Kluyveromyces lactis: one gene and its partners. The protein of the gene in region 2 interacts with the protein of the main gene of each other region in a biochemical or structural test. Links are inferred from orthologs where the notes say so. Each region holds a gene or a part of one and is shown on either strand. Other genes may lie near its edges. The genes, in order: MYO1, BNI5 and ELM1.

What was found.
Region 1: the proteins of BNI5 (region 2) and MYO1 form a complex in vitro, tested with the Saccharomyces cerevisiae proteins (2 studies listed by BioGRID). The link is inferred for Kluyveromyces lactis from reciprocal best matches to the Saccharomyces cerevisiae genes BNI5 and MYO1.
Region 3: of the proteins of BNI5 (region 2) and ELM1, one has a biochemical effect on the other in vitro, tested with the Saccharomyces cerevisiae proteins (2 studies listed by BioGRID, with this or other methods). The link is inferred for Kluyveromyces lactis from reciprocal best matches to the Saccharomyces cerevisiae genes BNI5 and ELM1.

Annotation. Positions count from the first base shown.
Region 1 is NC_006041.1:1,018,421-1,021,830, reverse strand, and holds the end of MYO1 (myosin 1), read left to right. Parts: coding exon 1-2,859; downstream 2,860-3,410. Other genes in the region: MAS2 (mitochondrial-processing protease subunit alpha), read right to left, coding at 2,998-3,410. UniProt on the Saccharomyces cerevisiae protein: Required for cell division.
Region 2 is NC_006040.1:682,204-685,331, forward strand, and holds BNI5 (Bni5p), read left to right. Parts: upstream 1-1,528; coding exon 1,529-2,527; downstream 2,528-3,128. Other genes in the region: KLLA0_D07964g (uncharacterized protein), read right to left, coding at 23-1,075; DNA-directed RNA polymerase core subunit RPC10, read left to right, coding at 2,795-3,007. UniProt on the Saccharomyces cerevisiae protein: Required for normal septin function and cytokinesis. Its recruitment to the bud neck by CDCd11 and SHS1 ensures efficient localization at the bud neck of MYO1, the type II myosin of the actomyosin contractile ring.
Region 3 is NC_006042.1:2,487,762-2,491,271, forward strand, and holds ELM1 (serine/threonine protein kinase ELM1), read left to right. Parts: upstream 1-1,564; coding exon 1,565-2,968; downstream 2,969-3,510. Other genes in the region: KLLA0_F26961g (C2H2-type zinc finger protein), read left to right, coding at 1-1,127. UniProt on the Saccharomyces cerevisiae protein: Important role in G1 events required for bud emergence and septin organization. Coordinates cell growth and cell division at G2/M, essential for efficient cytokinesis and for regulation of SWE1.

The DNA of each region.
Region 1 (3,410 bases), on a different chromosome or scaffold from region 2:
GATAATTTACGCCTTGAATTAGAAAAGACGAAAAATGCTTCCGATTTATCAGAAGATAAGTTTAGAGAGTTGTCCCATGATAAAGAAAAGCTGGAGATTACAGTCAATGAACTTAAGAATAAGTTGGATGTTGTAAAGAATGACGAGCGTGCTTTAGACTCCGAAAAAGATAAATTAATTAGGGAAATTAGTGATTTGAAGAAAGAGATTCAAGAGAAGACGATGTCTTTGAAGGACATGGAAGCCAAGGTTAACGATTCCGAAATAGCCATTGATGTAAAGTTAAAGTCTTTGGAAAAGCATCTTGCTGCTACAAGTAACAGAATGAAGGGATTTTTTGAAGAGAATACTCAACTTGCTGCTCAGGTCAAGTCTTTAAAAAATGATATTGCTACAAAAAACAGCCTATTTGAGAATAAATCTGCTGAGCTCAACCGGGTTAATGTTAAAGTTTCGGAACAGGAATCAATGGTAAATTCATTATCCAAAGAAAAAGAATCACTATTAATTCAAGTATTATCGTTATCAAAGGAATTAAAGGCAGTGAGACAAGAAAATGACTCTAATAAATGTAAATTGGAGTCCATCAATGAAGAATACTCAAAATTGTTAGCGGCAAAACAAGAAAATGGATCTTCTAATGGCAACCATGAACTAAACAAATTGAAGACAGAGTTACTACAAGAACAGTCAATGAATAAATTCCTCAATGAGCGTCTGCTGTCTGTTGGCAGATCTGGTAAAGCTGTCAATGGATTTTCGTCTTCTGTAGGTACAGACGATCTACGGAGAGAATTTGATGAACTTTCCATGAAATATAAAGATGTTGAAATGAGATTGACCAGTGAAATTGAGGAAAAGAAGAATTTGATTTCTCGTTTGAGATTTGCAGAAACTCGTTTAGCTTCTGCTTCCTTTGACAATCAAACTTTGACTGCTCAATTGAAGAAGATCAAACAACTTTCAAAGTCTACTTTATCTGAAGTGAACTTAGACGAGGAACTTGAAAATATTGATAAGTTTGAACTAAACCAAGAGAAAATGCTTCTGGAAATCGACTTCTTAAAAAGACAGCTCACAAAGGAAATGAACGCTAGAAAAAATGCTGAAAGGGTCGCAAGTGCGCTTCATCAAAAGGTTGGACAAATACAACGATCTGATTCTTCTGCTGATATCTTTAAACTGCGATATGAGGCAAACGAAGATTACGTTAAATCTCTGGAGATGAGACAAAACAGCTCTCCGTTTAGGGACAAGACGAACATCATTAATGGTGATATTTTCAAACACCGCGAATCCTTCGAGAAATACGAAGAAGAACTACAGCGTCATAGAGTAGAGTCTAATAGGCTTCACAGTTCTCTGGTAGAATATCAAAACAAGCTGCACGACCTGACGTTAGATTACAATAAGAGTTTGGTAACGGAAGCTTCGTTGAGAGAACAAATAGCTCAGTTAGATGATGAACTGAAAACAGTAGAACAACAGAAAAATATGATTCAATCTAACTCTAAGCGTTATCAGACGCAATACGAAGGGTCGCAAAGAGATTTGGTTACTGTAGAAAGTGAAGTCAGAGCTGTCAAGCATGGTTTAAAGCAAGCAGAAAAAGATATCGAGAGTATGACGCAAATGATTCAAAAGCTCAGATCTCAGAACAAACAGAAAGAACAAGAGATCTGGCAGCAGGAAACAAAAATTACTGAACTTGAATCTCAACTTGACGAGAAAACGATCGAACTTGATAAATCAATATCTAAAAGCAAAGCACTAGAGGAAGATATAACACATTACAAGGAAAGGGCAAGAGCCGTAGAAAATAATAAAGAATACTTAGTGGAAATTGATTGTTTAAAAGGCAAGTTAGATGGTTATTTGAGATTAGAAACTGAAATGAAAAAGGAAATGTCAAGTCTCGGTTATCAACTGGAGACTTTGAAACTCGATTCGGAGGCAAAAATCCAAGATTTATTGAAACAGACCAATCACTATGAGCGTCTTGTGACAGAACTTGGGATTCAAAAAGATGAAGCTGAAGCTGCCAAGAAGACACTTGAAACAACTATCAAAACTCTGCAGGTGAAAAATTTGAGTTTAGAAGAGACCACACAATCCCTATCAGCTGAAAACAAACAACTCCAAGAAGAACGTACATTTTTGAGGTCTAAACTCGATGAAGCAAATGGGAACTTTTCCCAGTCTTTAAAAGAAAAGGAAAAGTATTCGCACGATGTTCAATTCTTGGAGGAATCTTTAGCTTTGCAAAAACAACAAGCAGAACGTAATGAAGAACTCATAGATCAATTGCAAACAGAATTGGATACGATAAAAACAACATTTTCTTCGGAAAAAGATAAGAATGCAAATCTATTCCAAGAAAATGCTTCTCTAGCAAAAGCCAATGAGATTTTGAGGAACGATCTTTTGGATGCGAAGAATAAACTAGCTGACACTTCTGAGAATGACGCATGGTTCAATAAAGTTCAAACTCTAACAACTACTCTAGAAGAAGAACGTACTTCCAAGTTCGAGGAAATCAAGAAGTCCAAGAAACTTGAGAGAATAATTGAAGAGTTAGAGAGGAAGAATGAAGAACAAGCCAATGTAATCGAGATAGCCAACGATGCTAAATCACAATACGAGGAAACTATTGGTAATCTCGATGAAAAATTGGGAGAAATAGAGGCCATCAATGCTACTAAGGATGCAACACTGAATAAAATGCATAGAGATAACACTTACTATCAAGAACAGATATCTGAACTTGAGAAGGAAATATCATCCTGGAAGCAAAGATACGAGAAACTTTCTGAAAGAAGACAATCCTTAGCTCAATCTACAGATGGTGTCTTCATTTAAATGTTATAGAAACATAGTTTTTCATTGATTTCGTGTGCACAGCATTGAACTGTTGATATTTTTGTTGTCCTTTATGTTAGCTATTTACATATCTTTATTTGATGTTATAATAATAATTAATGAATGCTGAATTGAGAATTAAAACCAACCCTGTTTCTTCATCTTTGGTACGTCTAGTTTTGGGTAGTTACCTAGACCATAGAATCTTAATACTGTTTCAATATCACCAAAGGATTCTCTTTCACCTTGCATTACAACCGTCACCTTCCCGTTACCATTACCAGGATTATTGACTTTGCCTGTGAAAACCGTTTCAGCAACACGTTTAATGTCATCGACGGTAAGCTTTTCGATATTTTCCATCATTTCTTTCATTGGTATCTTACGACCATGCAATAACACTTGTCTTCCCAAATCTTCAAGTTCTACGATTTTAGATTCTAGATTCATCAACAAAGATGATTTTAGTTGGTTCTTTGATCTTGACACTTCTTCCTTCGTCAACTTCAGTTTGTCGTTGGCAAACACATTCGATAAAGTTTGTGCAATAA
Region 2 (3,128 bases):
TGAACCACTACATCAACGAAACCTACACCATTGAAATCATCGGAGCGGATGTCAATGGTGATCTTCTTTCCTTTCTCGATTCCAATTCGTGTAAGTACATACTCATACATGTCAAGAGTTCGGAAGTGAAAGGCACTTGCTCAGCATTTTCAACTTCACTGATTTGGAAAGTTGCCAACTTCAACACACGATGCCTGGGTATTGGCAAAATTGAGGTAGTTCTGGAATACATAGCCCAGACTGGCATCTTAGATTGAGATCGTGCATGTTCACTGCGTTGCGAATCTCTTCTGTCATTATCTCTCTCTTGAGAGGCCCGTGATGACAAATGTGGAACTTGATCATCCAAGATCACCAATTTCAAATCGTTTGCACCAAAGACAGACGTATATCCTGTTGTTCCAATCCATCTGAGATTCAATAAGGAATCAGTAATAGGTTCATAGACTTGACAATCAGTGTTCCTTCGTCCAATGCTATTCATCATCAAAACTGAGCATCTGATCCCATCAGGTTGGAAGCACACGAATTTATGGTATACAATCCCTTCACTATTGATAACGTTCCGGAAAACGTTACAAAATTCAACTTTGAAAAGAGACCTTTTCTCGTTTTGATGAAGAAGCTCTTTATTGGGCTCCTTGATATCATCGACTTTATCGTTATCAACCACCTTGTATTTGTAAATTTTGGACACTGGGGTGCTTTTCCTGAAATATGATTTGAACCCTACAGAAACGTAATGAAATAATGGCCACCCTTTACCGGAATCTAAGCATTTATCAAGTTTCCTACGGTTGGAAATAAATGTATCAAACGTGTCTTGATTTTCCCACGCAAAAAAACCCTTAGAAAGCATAACTGAAGCAAATATAACGGTTCTATTACTGGCAAATCGAGGGCTTCGATTCACAAAACCCAGCCGTTCGAAATCTCCAATGGTACTTGATTCAGAAAACACAGATTCCATTTCCCCTGGTGTAGAATGCGGGAAAGACATTAACGTGTTCTGATCATCTGCGTTAGATCTAGAATCCTGATTGTTTTGGCCATATCTCGATCGAAATCTATTCATAACGGTGTTTTCTAGTCATGCAATGACTCTTCTCTGGAAGATCTATACTCAGTAAAATTGAAACAAAAAGAAAAACCTTTCCACTCACTTTTAATAGGTATATCTGCCAGCAATTATATATTTATACGGCAATCCTGAAGTACCTTGAATACCACCTTCAAGATACCAATATAGTACCCAAAAAATGTGTCAAGTTGAAGAGAAGAAGGAGAAATATGCAGGTTTCCTTAAAATTGGGATCTAAGTCTCTTTTCTTATTTACATATAAACTGCCATACTGTGAAAAAATTCAAAAACTAAACAATATAAACAAAGGAAAAAGGAAACTTCCAGTCACCAATACGTGTATGTGTTAATAAAAGGCGTTTGTACTAGTAGTTGACGAGTTGAAGCGTATCAGTGGCAGAATAAAAGTGTCACATTGTTGATAGTGGCGTCCTATTTTTTTCAATTATGGATTCAGAGCAGGTAAAGAAACGAATGTCTCAAATTGAGTTAGAGATAAGTGAGATGAACGAGATGATAGATAAGAACTTGAGCATTCATGAGACCACGGTTAAGACGAAACAGGATGTTTCTTCTGACGATCAAGATGAGGATTACTTAGAGTTGCAGAAGCTAACGGCGAACCAGGTTGATCAATTTGTGCAGAATGCTATTAAAAGCGATGGGGAGGACGAGGTACCGGAAACACTAAGTAGTGGCAGAGAGACGGCACTACAAGCGGAAGAGCGAGAAGACATAAAAGAGGAGAAACCAGGTACTCAATTAGAGGCAGCAGTAGTGGCAGAAGTGGTGGCAGAAGTACAAACTGAACCAACTGCTGAGAAAGCTATTCCCGCTGTTTCCGTAACCTCTGTTCCAGCGAAGAGAATACCTTCTGAGAAGATCGAAGTCTCCACCAGCACAGAAGAGGATGAAGCAGCAGCAGCAGCTACGATTGTACCTAACACTGATAAATCAAGTACATACCCTGCTCCTGCAGCAATCGGCCATACTCAGAACGGAACCGTCCCTCGTGCACCAAACACTGACTCAAGCAACATACCTACTTCACCACGTATACTCACGCCGAAGAGCAACCCGTTCCGCGTAGTACATGTTGGTAGCCAACCAAGCTCCCGTAACGCATCGAGAAACAGCTCTAGGGTCTCAAGCACTTCCTCAGATATTTCAGACATAAACTTTGAACAATTACAGCAAAATTACAACTCACTCTCGGTCAAATGTACCAAACTACAAAAAGAAATCGATTACCTCCACAAATTTAAAAACGAAAGTACCTTAACGCTCGAAGACAGACGCAAACTGATCACTGCCATCGAAAAATTGCAAGAATACCTCGACAAGAAAAACAAACAACGTTACGATACAGGTGTAATATTATCCCGTCAAATAAGGAAAAACGTAGATATGGGGGCCAATGGCCAATTTTGGGTAGGAAGGTCGTAACCTGGAAATCTCGTACTACATACATACATACGTTCATTCGTGTCTATATAAATGTGTGTGTATTTCTATGCATCCTTTAAGTATTACCCTACCGTGTATTTCCAAAAGAAATTCTTCTGACCTTAGTAAGAAATTTGAATTGACAAGCTCATCATAGGAATCAGAAGCTTTGACTGAAACATACTGTCTCGGATACGAGAGTTATCCTCCGATAGTCGAGTCAGTGAGTGCGTTTGTGGCCCCAATAGTTTAAGAGTAAGTGTCAAGATGTCCCGTGAAGGTTTCCAAATCCCAACGAATTTAGATGCTGCTGCTGCTGGTGCAGCTCAGAGCAGAACTGCCACTTTGAAATACATCTGCGCAGAGTGTTCAAGCAGACTTTCGCTTTCCAGAACTGATCCCGTCCGTTGCAAGAATTGCGGTCACCGTATCCTACTCAAGGCCAGAACCAAGAGAATGGTCCAGTTCGAAGCCAGGTAAACCTGTTCCCATTCCATCACATAAACTATATGCATATAAACTATATATGTATTACAGCATCTTTCCTGTATGTACATTAATAAACGTTGACATTTAAACGTTTCTCAATTGAAACACGACT
Region 3 (3,510 bases), on a different chromosome or scaffold from region 2:
AAAGTAGTAATTCTCAAGTTCAGCAAGATAACAATTCGGAGTTGTTTGACTTAATGAGTTTCAAAAATAAGGGAAGACAACATCTGCAACAGCAACTGCAACAACAGCAACAACAGGCTCAGCTGCAATCACAAATGCACCGCCAACAGATACAACAGCGCCAGCAGCACCAGCAGCAACAGTCACAGCAACGCCATAGTGCGTTTAAGATTGATAACGAGCTCACTCAACTATTGAATGCTTATAATATGACACAATCCAACCTGCCTAGCAACGGCAGTAACATAAACACTAACAAGTTAAGGACTGGTTCCTTTACACAATCGAATGTCAAGAGAAGCAATTCATCAAATCAGGAAGCACATAATAGAGTTGGTAAGCAACGATATTCAATGTCACTTTTGGATGGTAACCAAGATGTTATATCGAAGCTATATGGAGACATGACGCGCAATGGACTTTCTTGGGAAAATGCTATAATATCCGATGATGAAGAAGATCCAGAAGATCATGAAGATGCTTTAAGGCTCAGAAGAAAATCTGCATTGAATAGGTCAACCCAAGTTGCATCACAGAATCCTACGGAAACTTCATCAAGTGGACGATTTATTTCTCCACAATTGTTGAACAACGATCCACTACTAGAGACTCAAATTTCCACGAGCCAAACTTCGTTAGGCCTTGATAGAGCTGGTTTGAATTTTAAACTCAATTTACCCATTACAAACCCTGAAGCCCTTATTGGATCAAGCCAACCTGATGTCCAAACTCTTAATGTTTACTCTGAATCAAATGTTCTCCCCACAAGTGCACAGTCGACAACCACGAAGAAGAAACGGTCCAGCATGTCCAAATCAAAGGGCCCTAAATCTACCTCTCCGATGGATGAAGAAGAAAAGCCTTTCAAATGTGATCAATGTAATAAGACCTTCCGCCGTAGCGAACACTTGAAAAGACATGTACGTTCTGTTCACTCGACGGAAAGACCTTTCCACTGTCAGTTTTGTGATAAGAAGTTCAGTAGAAGCGACAATTTATCACAGCATTTAAAGACACACAAGAAGCACGGCGATATAACTGAGCTACCCCCACCGAGAAGAGTCACGAATTCTTCAAACAAGCACTGAAATAATCTACGATATTTCAGATGTGACATTGGAAATGAGATACAATAGACATTTGATAATTGGAAATGAATCATTTCACAGTTAGTTATGAATTCTCAACTTTTTTAATAGTCCTTTATATTTTTATAAGGAAGTTCATTTATATACACCCCGGATAATCCGATATGGTCTAATATATGCGCTCACATGGATCCTTTAATAAAATGTGGTGTACACGTTCACTTATCACCAAATGTCGTCTGCATATGTGTATTCCCTTTCTTTGGCATATTTCTTCCATTGAATTTTCAAAAAGCCTGTTTTCATGTACAGAATAATCATATTCAACGTAAATGCTGCATACACATGAGAAGATAACCATAAAGGATGAAGAACAGCTACAAAACGTTATCTGGCTAGACAAGCAATCAATTTGATATGCAACTACTGTAAGAAATATGAAGAAGTATCCCACGATCATACAGTTTCCGGAGTCAATTAGGATTCAACCTATGAGTACGGACCCGGAATCATACTTTCAAATTATCGATGAGCAACAAAAGAAACTAGAACTTGGCGTTATAAGCAAGACAAAGATAATAGAAAGGTACGTTTCGGCTTCAGATTCAGATTCAGATTCTCAAGAAGAGCACGCACAGAAATTTGTGAACCAGTACCGCATAGGAGAAAGATTGGGTTGTGGACAGTTCGGTACTGTTTACAAAGGTCACACAACAGGAAAAGTTGTAGCTATCAAACAGATCTATAAGAAACCTATGAATTCCCCCTTTTCTATGAGCCTAATAATGAAAACAATGAAGAGGTACGAATCCATATCTGGTGATGTACTTATCATGGAAATGAACGTGAGTAAAATACGATGGGAATGTTTCGTTACGAGTAAACTAAATCACCCTAACGTAATTCAATTATTAGAATGTTTGGACTCTCCTTATTCTGACCAAATATGGCTTATCCAACCCCTCGCAGTCCTTGGCGAGTTACAATGGTCTAGAGAAAGTAAGTTTGATCTGATAGAGCAATGGAAGTCATTCTACCGGGGTCAACTTGATTCAGTAGAGGAGTTCGCAGTGAAAGTGTTAGGAGATATATCAAATGGTTTACAGTACTTACAAGGACAAGGCATTATTCACAGAGATCTAAAACCGCAGAACATACTATTAGATCCAGTATATCATAGCTTAAGGATCTCAGATTTCGGATGCTCATTAATCGTACCGAGCAAACTCCCGTTCAAAGATGGCAGACTACAGGATTTATTTGAAAAAGAACTGAATAAAATAGTGGGAACACCACTGTTTACAGCTCCTGAGCTTTGTAATTTCGCTGAAGGGTCAGCCCATGCTAGTAATGAGCAGCCTTTCAAAATTGATGTTTGGTCGCTTGGTATTACAGTGTACGCAATTTTATACAATGTATTACCGTTCTGGGGAGAAACTGAGTTTGACACATACAATCTGATCTGTCATCGGCAGTTGAAACCTGACGTTCATAACAGTTCAAATATTTATGGATGGATACATGAATACGTTGTTAACCGTATGCTATCCAAAAATACAGCTTCTAGGCCAACAACATCAAATATTTTGCGTACATTGGAATCTCATTCCAAATCTGAACTATCATCAATGAATAAAATGAAGTTGAAGCTAAATAAATGGAAAAAAAATCTACTCACTAAGAATAAAAATACCGAAATTCTTCCTACACAATCCTTCAAAGAGGATTTTTGTTCGCCTGCCAGTAGTATCAATGCTGCTTCGATCCCTCTTACAGACAAGAAACAACCATTGAATCGATCCCATAGAGCGACAGTTAATTTGGAAAAGTACATTAAATAGGTCAAATTCATAGATTACATAACCTCACGCACTCTCCGGCATTCACAAATAGATAAACCCTTAACTTTGACCTGCTGTACAGGGAACGCAACGGGATTCATGCTGTCCTTTTCTAACCTTGAATTAATGTCTTTTTCGCTAAGGTTTCATTTTGTTTACAATTGAAAACCCTACTATTTACGTTTCGCAAAATGGCATTATTAGGAAAAAAAAGTTTCTGTTTTTGTTTCACTCTGTGCGGTGATAAACCTCAAGATCTGGAGGTTTTAAATAGAATTGATCAAAAAGTCAAAAAGACATTAGCGCCTGTCGTATTCCTGTGATCAGCGCTAGTCATCGACTGGTAAACTGAAAGAAGGCTACTCATTAATTTTACTGATTTTGTCTCAATAGAAACTATTTGCGTAGACTTTTCTTCAGTCCGCTTGTGAGGTTCTAATCACCAGATTTAATTACCGACTTAAAGACCCACCTTTCTCAACATTGAACCGGGCATACCCAGAAGTTGAACTATCAATATACTCCTGAACACTTAACCGTCC